Linked DNA regions of Kluyveromyces lactis. The protein of the gene in region 1 interacts with the protein of each later gene in a pairwise test. Links are inferred from orthologs where the notes say so. Each region holds a gene or a part of one and is shown on either strand. Other genes may lie near its edges.

Evidence for each region. The genes of interacting proteins can lie anywhere in the genome.
Region 2: the proteins of BCK2 (region 1) and KSS1 interact in binary tests that used the Saccharomyces cerevisiae proteins (3 or more experiments, as listed by UniProt). The link is inferred for Kluyveromyces lactis from reciprocal best matches to the Saccharomyces cerevisiae genes BCK2 and KSS1.
Region 3: the proteins of BCK2 (region 1) and SMI1 interact in a two-hybrid assay, tested with the Saccharomyces cerevisiae proteins (2 studies listed by BioGRID). The link is inferred for Kluyveromyces lactis from reciprocal best matches to the Saccharomyces cerevisiae genes BCK2 and SMI1.

Annotation. Positions count from the first base shown.
Region 1 is NC_006039.1:1,561,505-1,565,795, reverse strand, and holds BCK2 (Bck2p), read right to left. Parts: upstream 2,801-4,291; coding exon 428-2,800; downstream 1-427. Other genes in the region: aminophospholipid-translocating P4-type ATPase DNF1, read right to left, coding at 3,928-4,291. UniProt on the Saccharomyces cerevisiae protein: Dosage dependent suppressor of PKC1 deletion and MPK1 deletion. Involved in cell lysis.
Region 2 is NC_006037.1:217,152-220,180, reverse strand, and holds KSS1 (mitogen-activated serine/threonine-protein kinase KSS1), read right to left. Parts: upstream 1,590-3,029; coding exon 501-1,589; downstream 1-500. Other genes in the region: LUG1 (Lug1p), read right to left, coding at 1-35; KLLA0_A02475g (FAD-dependent oxidoreductase), read left to right, coding at 2,494-3,029. UniProt on the Saccharomyces cerevisiae protein: Together with closely related FUS3, KSS1 is the final kinase in the signal transduction cascade regulating activation/repression of the mating and filamentation pathways, induced by pheromone and nitrogen/carbon limitation, respectively.
Region 3 is NC_006041.1:1,408,682-1,412,091, forward strand, and holds SMI1 (Smi1p), read left to right. Parts: upstream 1-1,302; coding exon 1,303-2,910; downstream 2,911-3,410. Other genes in the region: prohibitin subunit PHB2, read left to right, coding at 1-38; BNS1 (Bns1p), read right to left, coding at 441-698; DIE2 (dolichyl-P-Glc:Glc(2)Man(9)GlcNAc(2)-PP-dolichol alpha-1,2- glucosyltransferase), read right to left, coding at 3,078-3,410. UniProt on the Saccharomyces cerevisiae protein: Protein involved in the regulation of cell wall assembly and 1,3-beta-glucan synthesis, possibly through the transcriptional regulation of cell wall glucan and chitin synthesis.

The DNA of each region.
Region 1 (4,291 bases):
CCTCAGCAGAAGATGACTTTTTTACCCCCTAAGAGGGTTTAAAAAGGATCGTTCGAAATGGTTCTTTTGAAACACTAGTTAGATATCAATACTAATGGGTGCAAGAATGAAAAGAAGGGTTGTTTGGTTTTCCTTTTTACAATAGTATGGTTGATTGCTAGCAATAAATGGAAGCTTTGTTTCACATATCTGCATCCAGTAAATAGCGAGGAGCACGCAAATAATTGAAAAAATGAAGATGCGGATTTCGATGCAGGTTAAAACTATTAAAGAATGTAAAATGCTTTTCTTTTGACATAATTCATGACACTATGATTAGTGTTAATAAAATAATATCCTTAAATTATTCAGGAAACTCATTAAGTTGTCCCAGCTTGACAGTGTAACATATTTTGTTGTATATGTTTTACTGAATCAGTCAAGTCTTTTACTCATTTGGCAGATCTGAAAGATTAAATCCGTGTGCCAGACGATCAATATCATTCATAATACGTGACTGAAATGATAAGTTCGAACTATGCATTTGATGACTGGAAGGCATTAAGGTAGTGACCTCATCCTGTGAGGTATTCCCACCTGTAACTGTAATAGGTGAGACGTTCATACCTGATGTAATGGTTGATGTGTCATTATTGGAGCTATTGAACACTTGATGTAACAAATTTCCGTTATCATTAAATAGTTGCGATGGAGCTAAATCTTCGAAGTTAAAGTCCATGTAATTATTGAATGATTCGTTACCATATTCTGTACCCATTTGCTTGGTATGCAAAACCATCTCGCTGTTCGTATTGATATCGGGTAGATGATGTTGATGCTCTGCAAGAGGATTCTTAGATTCCATAAATGAGGGGTAAGAATTAGCGTCCGCCAGCTCAGGGGCTGTTTGTCTAGTAGAAATTGTGGATGTGGATGATATTCCAATATGGCTGCTTGACGCACTTGTATTCATGGCAGACTCATACTCCTCATCTTCATGAATCGTTGGTCTGAAGTAAAGATGGCCATCATCTTCAAGCATGTCTGCATCCTCAGAATTCTCTTTGACGGATCTCGGTTTAGGAAATTGCATCAATGCACTATCTGCAGTTCCAGGAGTAGAAGACGAGGAAGAGATGGAGGTGATACTATTTGTACAAGCGTAATTCATAACTGCTCCTTGTGCAGAATGCAACCTTGCCATATCTGATATCGATTCTTGCTTTTTCCTATGGGTTGGCTTATTTCCCTTGTTATGAGTGTCCAAATACGATTCCATACCTGGCAGTTCAGAACTGTCAGTATTAGAAATCTTCATAGAAGTTTGTAAACTAGTTAAATCTCTGGAAAGCCTATGGTTGGAAGTTCTAGTATTCGATCTTGTTCGGTTTTGAGAACCGGACCGTATTGGCGAGTAACGCATAGAGGAAGTAACCGAAGTACTACTTTGATGTCTATCTAAAGCCGGGATAGAAGGTTGTGTCGCCGACAATGAGAGAAGAGAACTTATGGACCCGCCAGTGTTTGTTCTTTTCCTCGTGAATAATTTACTGAATGCCACAGAAGCATCGTTCTCATCAGTGAAATATGTGGATAGTGTATCTGATGATACATCGGATTGGTGTAACGATGGAACCGATGAAATACGTTCAGTGTCCTGATATGGTTCCATGTAGTGGTGATCAAAGTCGTCGTCACCATCGTCATCCTCATCACAGTTTCCCGAATGACTGGATGCATTTGGTTTAATTTGCATTAGGGCTCCTGGAATGTTGGACAAGGAAGTTGATGGCCCATTTGGCTCTAACTTTAGGGTTGGAACCATTCGCAACTCAATATTCGACTGACTCTTTGTGTTTTGTAACGCGTTAGCATGACCACTTGCAGTTTGAGCTCCATTACCTGCTGATTTAGCTATATTAAACTTCAGCAAGTCCATCTTTTCCAATTGTTCGCTTTTGACGAATTTCTGAGCTGATTGGGCTAAAGAGCATCTACCATTGTTTCTCACCAAAGCCACGTTAGAGCTAGCAGATCTTGTCAAAGCAGGTTTTTGTCCATTTGGAATAGGTTCAGATCTTGGAACTATTTCATCCATTTGCTCAGATTCAACAACGGCATTGCTTGGGTTATACCTGTGGCATTTCAAGAAAGACCCATAAGTTCTCTTGGCGGCAGATGCCGGTGCAGACTGAACAGTCAAAGTTTTACTAGCTATGATTGTCGAACTCGAACCGGGACTGGAAGCTGACCTACCGTCATTATTACCACTGTTATTATTTCCGGTAAAAATTCTCAGCATTCGATCCCTCTTAGATTGTTTCTTCTTCTTCTTTTGCGTTTCTATAGTGTCTTGCACAGAGTAATTCACGAATACCATTTCATTCTTACCGTTAGAACCAGATCCTCCAGCACCATTTTTCTTTGATTTAGATGTCTTAACGGCTTTAGTCTCACGTAAAGCCGGTGGTTCACTTAACTTGATCTGAACTGGACTAGCCATGATATTCACCTTATTCGAACCCTTGCCACCTTTTAAAGACATCGTAGGACTGTACTGAAGTTGCGAAGAAGTCATAGGAGGATTTAGATCGTTCAAAGTTGGTTTCAAATTACTTTGAATGATGACTTGCGAACCATGTGCTGTTGACATTTTTTTACTCTTGACATCGAATGACGTCCCATTGTTCATGTAAGCTTGCCCAAAAGCCGAATCAAACGATATACCTGAACCCAGTGGTGTCAAATCTTCCATCGGAGAACCATTCATGCCGGCTTGGAAACCACCGTGACCCGATGAAGAGCCTGGAAATCGTGCCATCTGAAAAAAAACAGAAATCCACAGTACCAGAAAGAGCAGATTAGAACTTAGGTCAATAAGGATCTACCAATCCTAACGCCAACACTCACTGCTGCTTGCTGTGATATCAAAATTGAAACCAAAGGTGAGTTTGGAATCAGTTCAGTGTAGTCTTTTTGAAACCAAAACAGTGTATCTAAGCAAAGTGAAAAAAAATTTAGCAACAAAAAACACACGAACACACCTCAAACAGTAAAAATTATATGGGGACACTAATACCTAATACTGACGCCAATTCAGTAATCACGGTCAATGCGTCCTGGGGTATTCAATCCTTGACTTTTCCTTCAGATCTCAGATCTAAGAAGCACGCTGTTTTCTCCAGGTTTATATTTAACACCACTTATTTCATGGTTTTGGAAAATTAAAGATCTCTCTTTTCACTTATATTTCATTATTTACTAACATGGTTCTCACGATATATTTAAAAATGGCGGAAGTTTGCTTTCCTCGACAAGGCAGGTGATCAGAGGAGGGGGGTAAAAGACGTTGTAAGAGATGTCGGTGCTCGTTAAGAGACTGGTATGGCAATATTCAATTATAGTAGCGTAAATATATGATATCCTTTTTACCATGAAAAGTTTGTAGTTGGCTTAAGCAGGTTTTACATAAAACCGGCCTAGATATTCAAGAAATATCCATGGTTATCCATGCCGGACAGTAGTTCTTTTACGCTGGTTAGACAGGGAAAACCGAAAAAAATCTCTGCCGGAGAACAGAAATACTGGAATGGGATATTTCCGTTAAAAATAGATCCCGGACAAAAAAAAAAAGAAAGTAATATAGTGGTGGGATTCTCATGAGATAGGGCCCCGACACATACATGGTATATCACAACTGTTTCTAATTTAGTTTATCTTGTTTAAAGTTACTTAAAGTTGGTTAGTTAGTTAATTTTACATATATAACATTTCTCATGCAATGAATGAATTATAAGTGTAGCAGAAAGGAAATTTTGTTTAGGAATTACAAACTGTCACAAAGAAGTATTGAAAGTATTTCAATTGGCAATTATGAGGACAGTCTCTACTATTACGTTGAAATGAAGAAATTGGAAAGTTCTGTTTTTTTTTATTTTTCTATCACTTTTAGTCATGACTGCTTAATAGTGTCGCGGCTCTAGTGACACCCGGCAACTCCAAGGATACACGCGCACGTTCGACGGAGTATCTGTTGTCTAATTGGTTTGAATTTCTCATCTCTGCTCTTGTTATCTCTAGAGATGGACGTCCTGATGACCTTTGATGACGGTTATGTGGGTAGCTTCGAGGTGACGTGGCAGAACTGTTGAACAATTCATCCATTGGGATCTCTTCTGTCTGTATACTGTCTGTAGAAGATTGAGCCATTTCTATGTCTTTATTGTAAACAAAGGCATTCTTCACCTTTGGTCTATCTGGATCGGTTGGATCGTACCCTTCTGGATAATGATCGAAATCACCTCGTTTCCAA
Region 2 (3,029 bases), on another chromosome or scaffold:
GAAGGTAACCGCATCGTCGATGTTTCACTGATCATATTGAACGAATTATGATATGCGAGCCCCGAATAACACGTTTTATACACTTCACCAATCCTTAAAGCTATTTGCACCTGTTTTGGTGCTCTTGATGATTTCTTTAAGATCCACTTTGGTTTTCATTTTTTCTTCTATTGATGCGGGTCTTTTGTTCAAGTTCTTGTTCATTCTAATTATATCGCTACTTTATTTTTCATTTCAGGGCATAAAGTACACTTAAGGTTCATAAGGGATCAAAGAGTATGAAAAACGTGATGTGGTTATTCGTAGCTTTACTTAGTTATGTAATTAACTATATGATTGTCTAATATGAGTATGAGAATTCTTGTATTACTTTTCCTCAATTTGACAGACTAGGCGTCCTAATGAGAAGTACCCATGAAACGTAAAATCCTTGAGTCTCAGTACATTCATTCAAAGACTATGCGGATAGTTTTTTTTTAGTTCATAGAATATCGAACATATCAATTTAGAGGCTTCATAACTTCACCATAAAGCATCTTTTTCAACAGTTCCAGTGGAATATCGTCTTCCTCGTTTTTATCGCGGGCCTCGTTGTCAATTTTCCAAAAATTGTCTTCAAGGTTTAGTTGGGGATAATCTGGCTCGTCATCTGGATCATGATATGTTGCCAAATATGGATGTTCCAACGCTTCAACTGCACTGATCCTCTTGTCTGGGTTGAAAGTTAGCATCTTGGACAATAAATCGATAGCAAGAGGGTTAACTTCTTTATTTAACACATTAGCCCAGGGTATACCTTTCTTCATGGGTAGTTGAGATATGTATTCTTTTGCCCTTTTACTCTTGATTTGTTCAAAGTCTTCCAAAGTTGGAGACCCTAAAACTTCTAAGATGATCCAGAGTTGATGGTGGTAATCTTTACCTGGGAAAAGCGGCTTACCCATGATCATTTCTGCTAGTATACATCCACATGACCAGATATCCATTGCAGTTGTGTATTCTTGGAAGGACAACATGATTTCTGGAGCCCTATACCATCTGGTAGCTACATATTCTGTCATGAAACCCACCATATTCTCTCTTGATTGATCACTCGATGCCAGGCAACGAGCCAACCCAAAATCACACACTTTGAGATCACAATTGCTATTCAGTAACAAATTACTTGGTTTCAAATCCCTATGGATTACTTGTGCCGAATGTAGCGATTTTAAAGCCCTTAGTATTTGATAAACGAAATATTGGATATGATCCTCTGATAAATTTTGTTGGTTGATAATCTTCTGCAAATCCGTTTCCATCAACTCTTGTACAAGATAAACTGCTTCAAATTTATGCCATGACGTCGGACGTACTATATCCAAGACCGATATGATATTTTCATGCGAATGAAAGAATTTCAACAGTTTCAACTCCCGTAACGTCCTGGTAACAAACATCGATCTGCTAAACGGCTGTATCTTTTTAATTGCAACTTTCGTGTTTGTTGGCTTATGTATCGCAGAGCAAACTGTACCATATGCTCCCTCACCAACCAGATCTACTAGTTGATAATGGGATGGGATATCATACGTGATTGTTCGTGGCATCTCTATGCTGTTAGATCTCCGGTTTGCTTGTTATAATGATCTCTGCTATTCCACTATTATAGATTTAGTTTCCCCCCACTAAGGATTAAATATTATATATACCTATAGCGTCCAATTGCAAAACTCTGGATGGGAATCCTTTATCGTCATTCCCGAGCGTTGACTCGGCGCCTTAAGTATCCCATTGAGTTGACACAATGCGCGACGTTCCATGTCGTCCAGATAAAGAATGTTTCGTCCTTGAATCTTTGTTTCATGTTGGTGAACATTCCATCCAATCTCGAAACCTGAAAAAATGTTACCCCGGTGTCAGTCATGTGACTTATAATACACATCACTGCTCGGACATACCGCAATGCGCTTCACCGTTCAAGAAAGTGCAGTTTCACACATGTTCTGTCGGTTGTTACCACTGCGACTGAGCATAAATTGGATCCATGCGGGTAAATCTGCGGAACTCATTTCCCGATAGGTGAACTGAAAGTCATAGTTAAAGTTAACAGAGAATTGATAAGGGAATAGCTAAGACCGCAACGTGGATTTACAGATTTTTCGAGTTACCTTAAATGGTAGTTCCTCGAGAGAAGGCAACATGACTTGACTGTAAATGAGCTGGAAGTGATATCTAAGATAGGTGGGGTCGAGGCAGCGCGTTTGTCAGAATAGCATGGTTTGTCATCGGTAACATACATAAGTGAAGGGACATGGGATTGAGATTCTCTTTCCTCAGTAAAGTTTTCCAACCTAGTTTCAGTTTGAAGTAGGAAACAGCCAATTGGCAGATCACTTACTTGAGCATTCCCAGTTTCTATAGTAGAGTAAAACATCTACTGAATATATCTATAGCGGTGAAAGTCACAATTTCATCAGTAAGCTTTATTTGAGCCTGAAATTATCAAATGACATGTCTAACAAATCTCAGCCATTGATCACTGTTGTTGGTGCAGGTATTTCTGGTTTGTACGTCACGTACTGTTTGACCGAATTGTACGGCGTTCCGGGTGAAAATATCTGCATTGTGGCAGATTACTTACCAGGTGACCAGTCACCCACTGGTTATACTAGTCCATGGGCAGGTGGTGTTTGGTCTTGTATTTCACCTGATGATAAAAACGTCATGTGGTATGATAGGTTCACGTATGAGAATTTACCTACTTTAAGTGAAAAATTACTGGATTTCTACAAGGGTAAAGATGCAGAGTGGTTAGGATTAGCTCGCAGACCATCCACGGAATTATGGGATTACCAGCCTCCCAAGGCCAAGATTAATTCCTTGAGCCAATATTTGGAAGAGTATAAGGTCCTATCGAAGGAAGAACTTGCAAAATTCAAACCTGAGGGAGCCCAATTTGGTATCGCTTTCAACTCATGGAACTTCAATTGTCCAGTATTCATAGTAAACTTGGCTAACTTCTTGAAACAGAAGCATAATGTGCGTTT
Region 3 (3,410 bases), on another chromosome or scaffold:
TATTGAATACAGTGACCGATTCTAGATCAAAGAACTAGAGGAGCAAAACTGAAACAATAAATTAACACCAATTCTTCACATTCAACGAGTTAGGTATCTTATTTATCTCGTATGTATCTTGTTTATAGTAAAAGTCAAAATTCAAAACAATATGACGACGAGTTGTAATCCCTATGTAAAAATCCAAACAGAGATGTTTTCAGAATATATGTTAAAAACTGGGGGATATACAAAGGAGCAATCATTGTGTTTCATATAGATGTCGTGCACATTTCATGTCTAGGTTTATGATGCAAAAGTTGATATAAGTTGAGGCAAGTTTCGGACCTGCCTGACTTGAAGTAAATATGTTTAAAATAGCGTCTTAAGAGCAAAGTATCTCAAGGAATGTAGTCGCAGAAGAGTATAGGGAGGAGTGGGTATCTTGGATCATGTTAAATTTAAAACTCTTCTGCTAATTGCTTCGACTGGAAATTCAACTTGGTAGGATTGCTCTTTGCCTGGAACAACTTCGATCTGTGATCGTTCAACTTCTGGGAACATGGAGAGAGCAAATCATCGGTAGGAGAAGCAAACTTGTTCTTCATTTCTGAAAGCTGGTGTGGTGATGGTTTCTTAAACATGGCCTTGTGCAAACTTGTACTCGCAGTTTGAGAATCCTGTTTCTGATGTAATGGTTGAAATTGGCCGGCAGTCATTATTCTTTGAGCTACTTTGAACTAGGCTTGTATCTGTTTGATCTTATTTAGTACCTGGCTCCTGAATAGCAGTTTTATAGGTTGTCGTGATGAACACTGTAATGTGGTTTCTACACATGTAGCATTGCATTTCTATGACTTTATATCACTATTTCAATGTTTACGTTTCTCCTAATTGGGAAATCTAAGTAGTGTATTCTTTGTGTCGGTCACATGACAGTTTTGAGTCACGTGAACATTGGAAAATGTATACCGTAATTTAATCATTAAGAACTACCTGTTGTTCAATGAATCTAGGATACTTTTCTAGGTATATTGTGGTTCCTCACCGAATCCCGAATCCAAGTGTTGTCACCTTCCCCATTTCTATCCACATGATAGTCACGTTTATCTACCGTTTTCGGAAATTCTCTATTTAGAATCGAAAAAAATCGTGTCGAAACCTTGGAAAAGTACAGAATACAAAGAGATCTGTCTAATGATCGAAGCATATGTCCTCAGGTAAGTGTTTACGCGAGATCAATAAAGTTCAGAAGCAAATTAGTAGGATTTACTAGGAATTGACATAGTATCTTAGTGTTTTAAGTGAGAAAATCTGATTAATATGCAAGCTTTTAAGAAGAAATTACAGCAATTAGTGTATTCTTTTAGTACCGAAGATCGGTATGCGGATTACGATGAAGAAGCTGCCAATCCAGATGTTGCTGCTGGAGTAGAACGGTCGATAACTGAATCTAACCATGGTTCCCAAATCCAATTGGCGGATTATGTGGATGGGTCGAACCCCAGTGGCAACGAGGGTATCAATGAAGCACTTTTGGCATGGAGACATATCGATAATTGGACGTCACAACATAATCCTGATTTGGCAGCAACGTTGAGTGACCCATGCACAAGACACGACATCAACAATGCTGAGAAGGATTTAGATATTATTTTCCCCGCTTCAGTAAGGGCATCTCTAAGGTTGCATGATGGTCAAGAAGATCTAGTGTCGATGACAGGCACTGGGGGTTTGTTCTTTGGGCTACAGTTGATGGGACTAGATGAAATCGTTCAAATGACAAGAACGTGGAGAAATGTGGCTGAAAATTTGGAACGTAAGAACCATGAGTTACAAATTAAGATGGATAAACATCAAGAGCTGAATGGCACCACTGTTGATTTGCCAAACCAACAAAAAGGATACGGTAAATTAGAAAACCAAGATTACAAAGCTATGGATCCAAATCTTCAAAGGAATATTTCACAAAACTATAAGAAGCAGTTCAAGCTACCAGATATCCCAGACCAACATTCTGTTCCGCCATTGGCCATTCAACAAGTCTATGCTAACTCAGGGTGGATTCCATTGGTAACGGATAATGCAGGGAACCACATCGGTATCGATTTGGCACCGGGACCAAAGGGTAAATACGGTCAAGTTATCCTTTTCGGAAGAGAATTCGATACTAAATTTGTTGTTGCAAGCAATTGGGGTGATTTCTTGTTAAGTTTTGCCAATGATTTAGAACTTGGTAATTGGTTATTGATCGATGAAGGTAACGACCAGTTTGCTGGTGAAGGTGAACTTGTGTTTAGAGACAAAAAGAGTAATGGCCCAGTTCGAGATTACTTAGAAGTTTTGGTAATGAGATCAAGAATGAAGTGGAACTCCTTTACCGAAAGAAAGCTGCCCGAAGAACCTAAAAGAACTGTTTCATCATCTCAAGGGTCTCAAAATACTGTAGAACCTGCAGAACAACAGGAAACAGCTTTGACTGTTGATGAAACTTTGGATGAGAAGAACGACACTTCCTTATCTGTAGACAATACTGGCACAAAACAGGAAGTTAAGGATCCTGAAACGACAGGTACAAAGACAGGATCTAGCGCTAAAGCGGAAGACAATCTACCAAAGACTTCAAATCCAGATGAAGTGATGGCAGATGGTGCTGACACACAGGAGACAAGCAAACACGAACAAAACGAAAGCACTAATGCTGTAGAAAACACCGAAACCAGTCAAGAAGGTGCAGTTGAAACTTCAGAAAAGCCTGAGGAAAAGCCCAAGAAGCAATCGAAGAAAGCATCCAAGAAAAAGGGTAAGAAGGATGAAAAAAAGGACACTGATAGTAAAACAAAAGAGCCAGAAGTGGAGGAAGAAACCGAGTCCCACTTGGCTAATTCGGTTGAGAAGTTAAAGGACGATTTCGAAAACGTAGCTCTTTGATCTCTTAACAAGACTAATGTCCCAAATCTTCAATTTCATACCTTCCAAAATATATTCCACAATTTTCTAAGATGGTGTTATTTTCTCAATATAAATCGGATATTATTAACTAGTAGTAATGGTAAAATTATGTCCAATTAGATGTTCTATATATTCTGTTTATGTCTTTACCAAATGATATGCTGTACAGTAGTTTCAGATTCCCATTTTATATCAAATCTCTTGAAAATAATATACGTGATCAAATTAATTATCATAAACCATGCACATTCAGACAAGTGTCTTTTCGTTCCAGTCACCTTACCTATTGGATTACCCCAGAATGGTTCAGGTGCCATTGTGATGAAAAGCCTCCAAAATATAAATGGCAAGATGTAGTATCGAGGTTCAAACAAGGGAGAAGGAACCACCGTCATAAATGTGCACATAATCAAGGCAGTCCACGAAATATGTGTCAATTGAATTGGTAAATCGATTGGGTTTTTAATTTCAATAGGCAA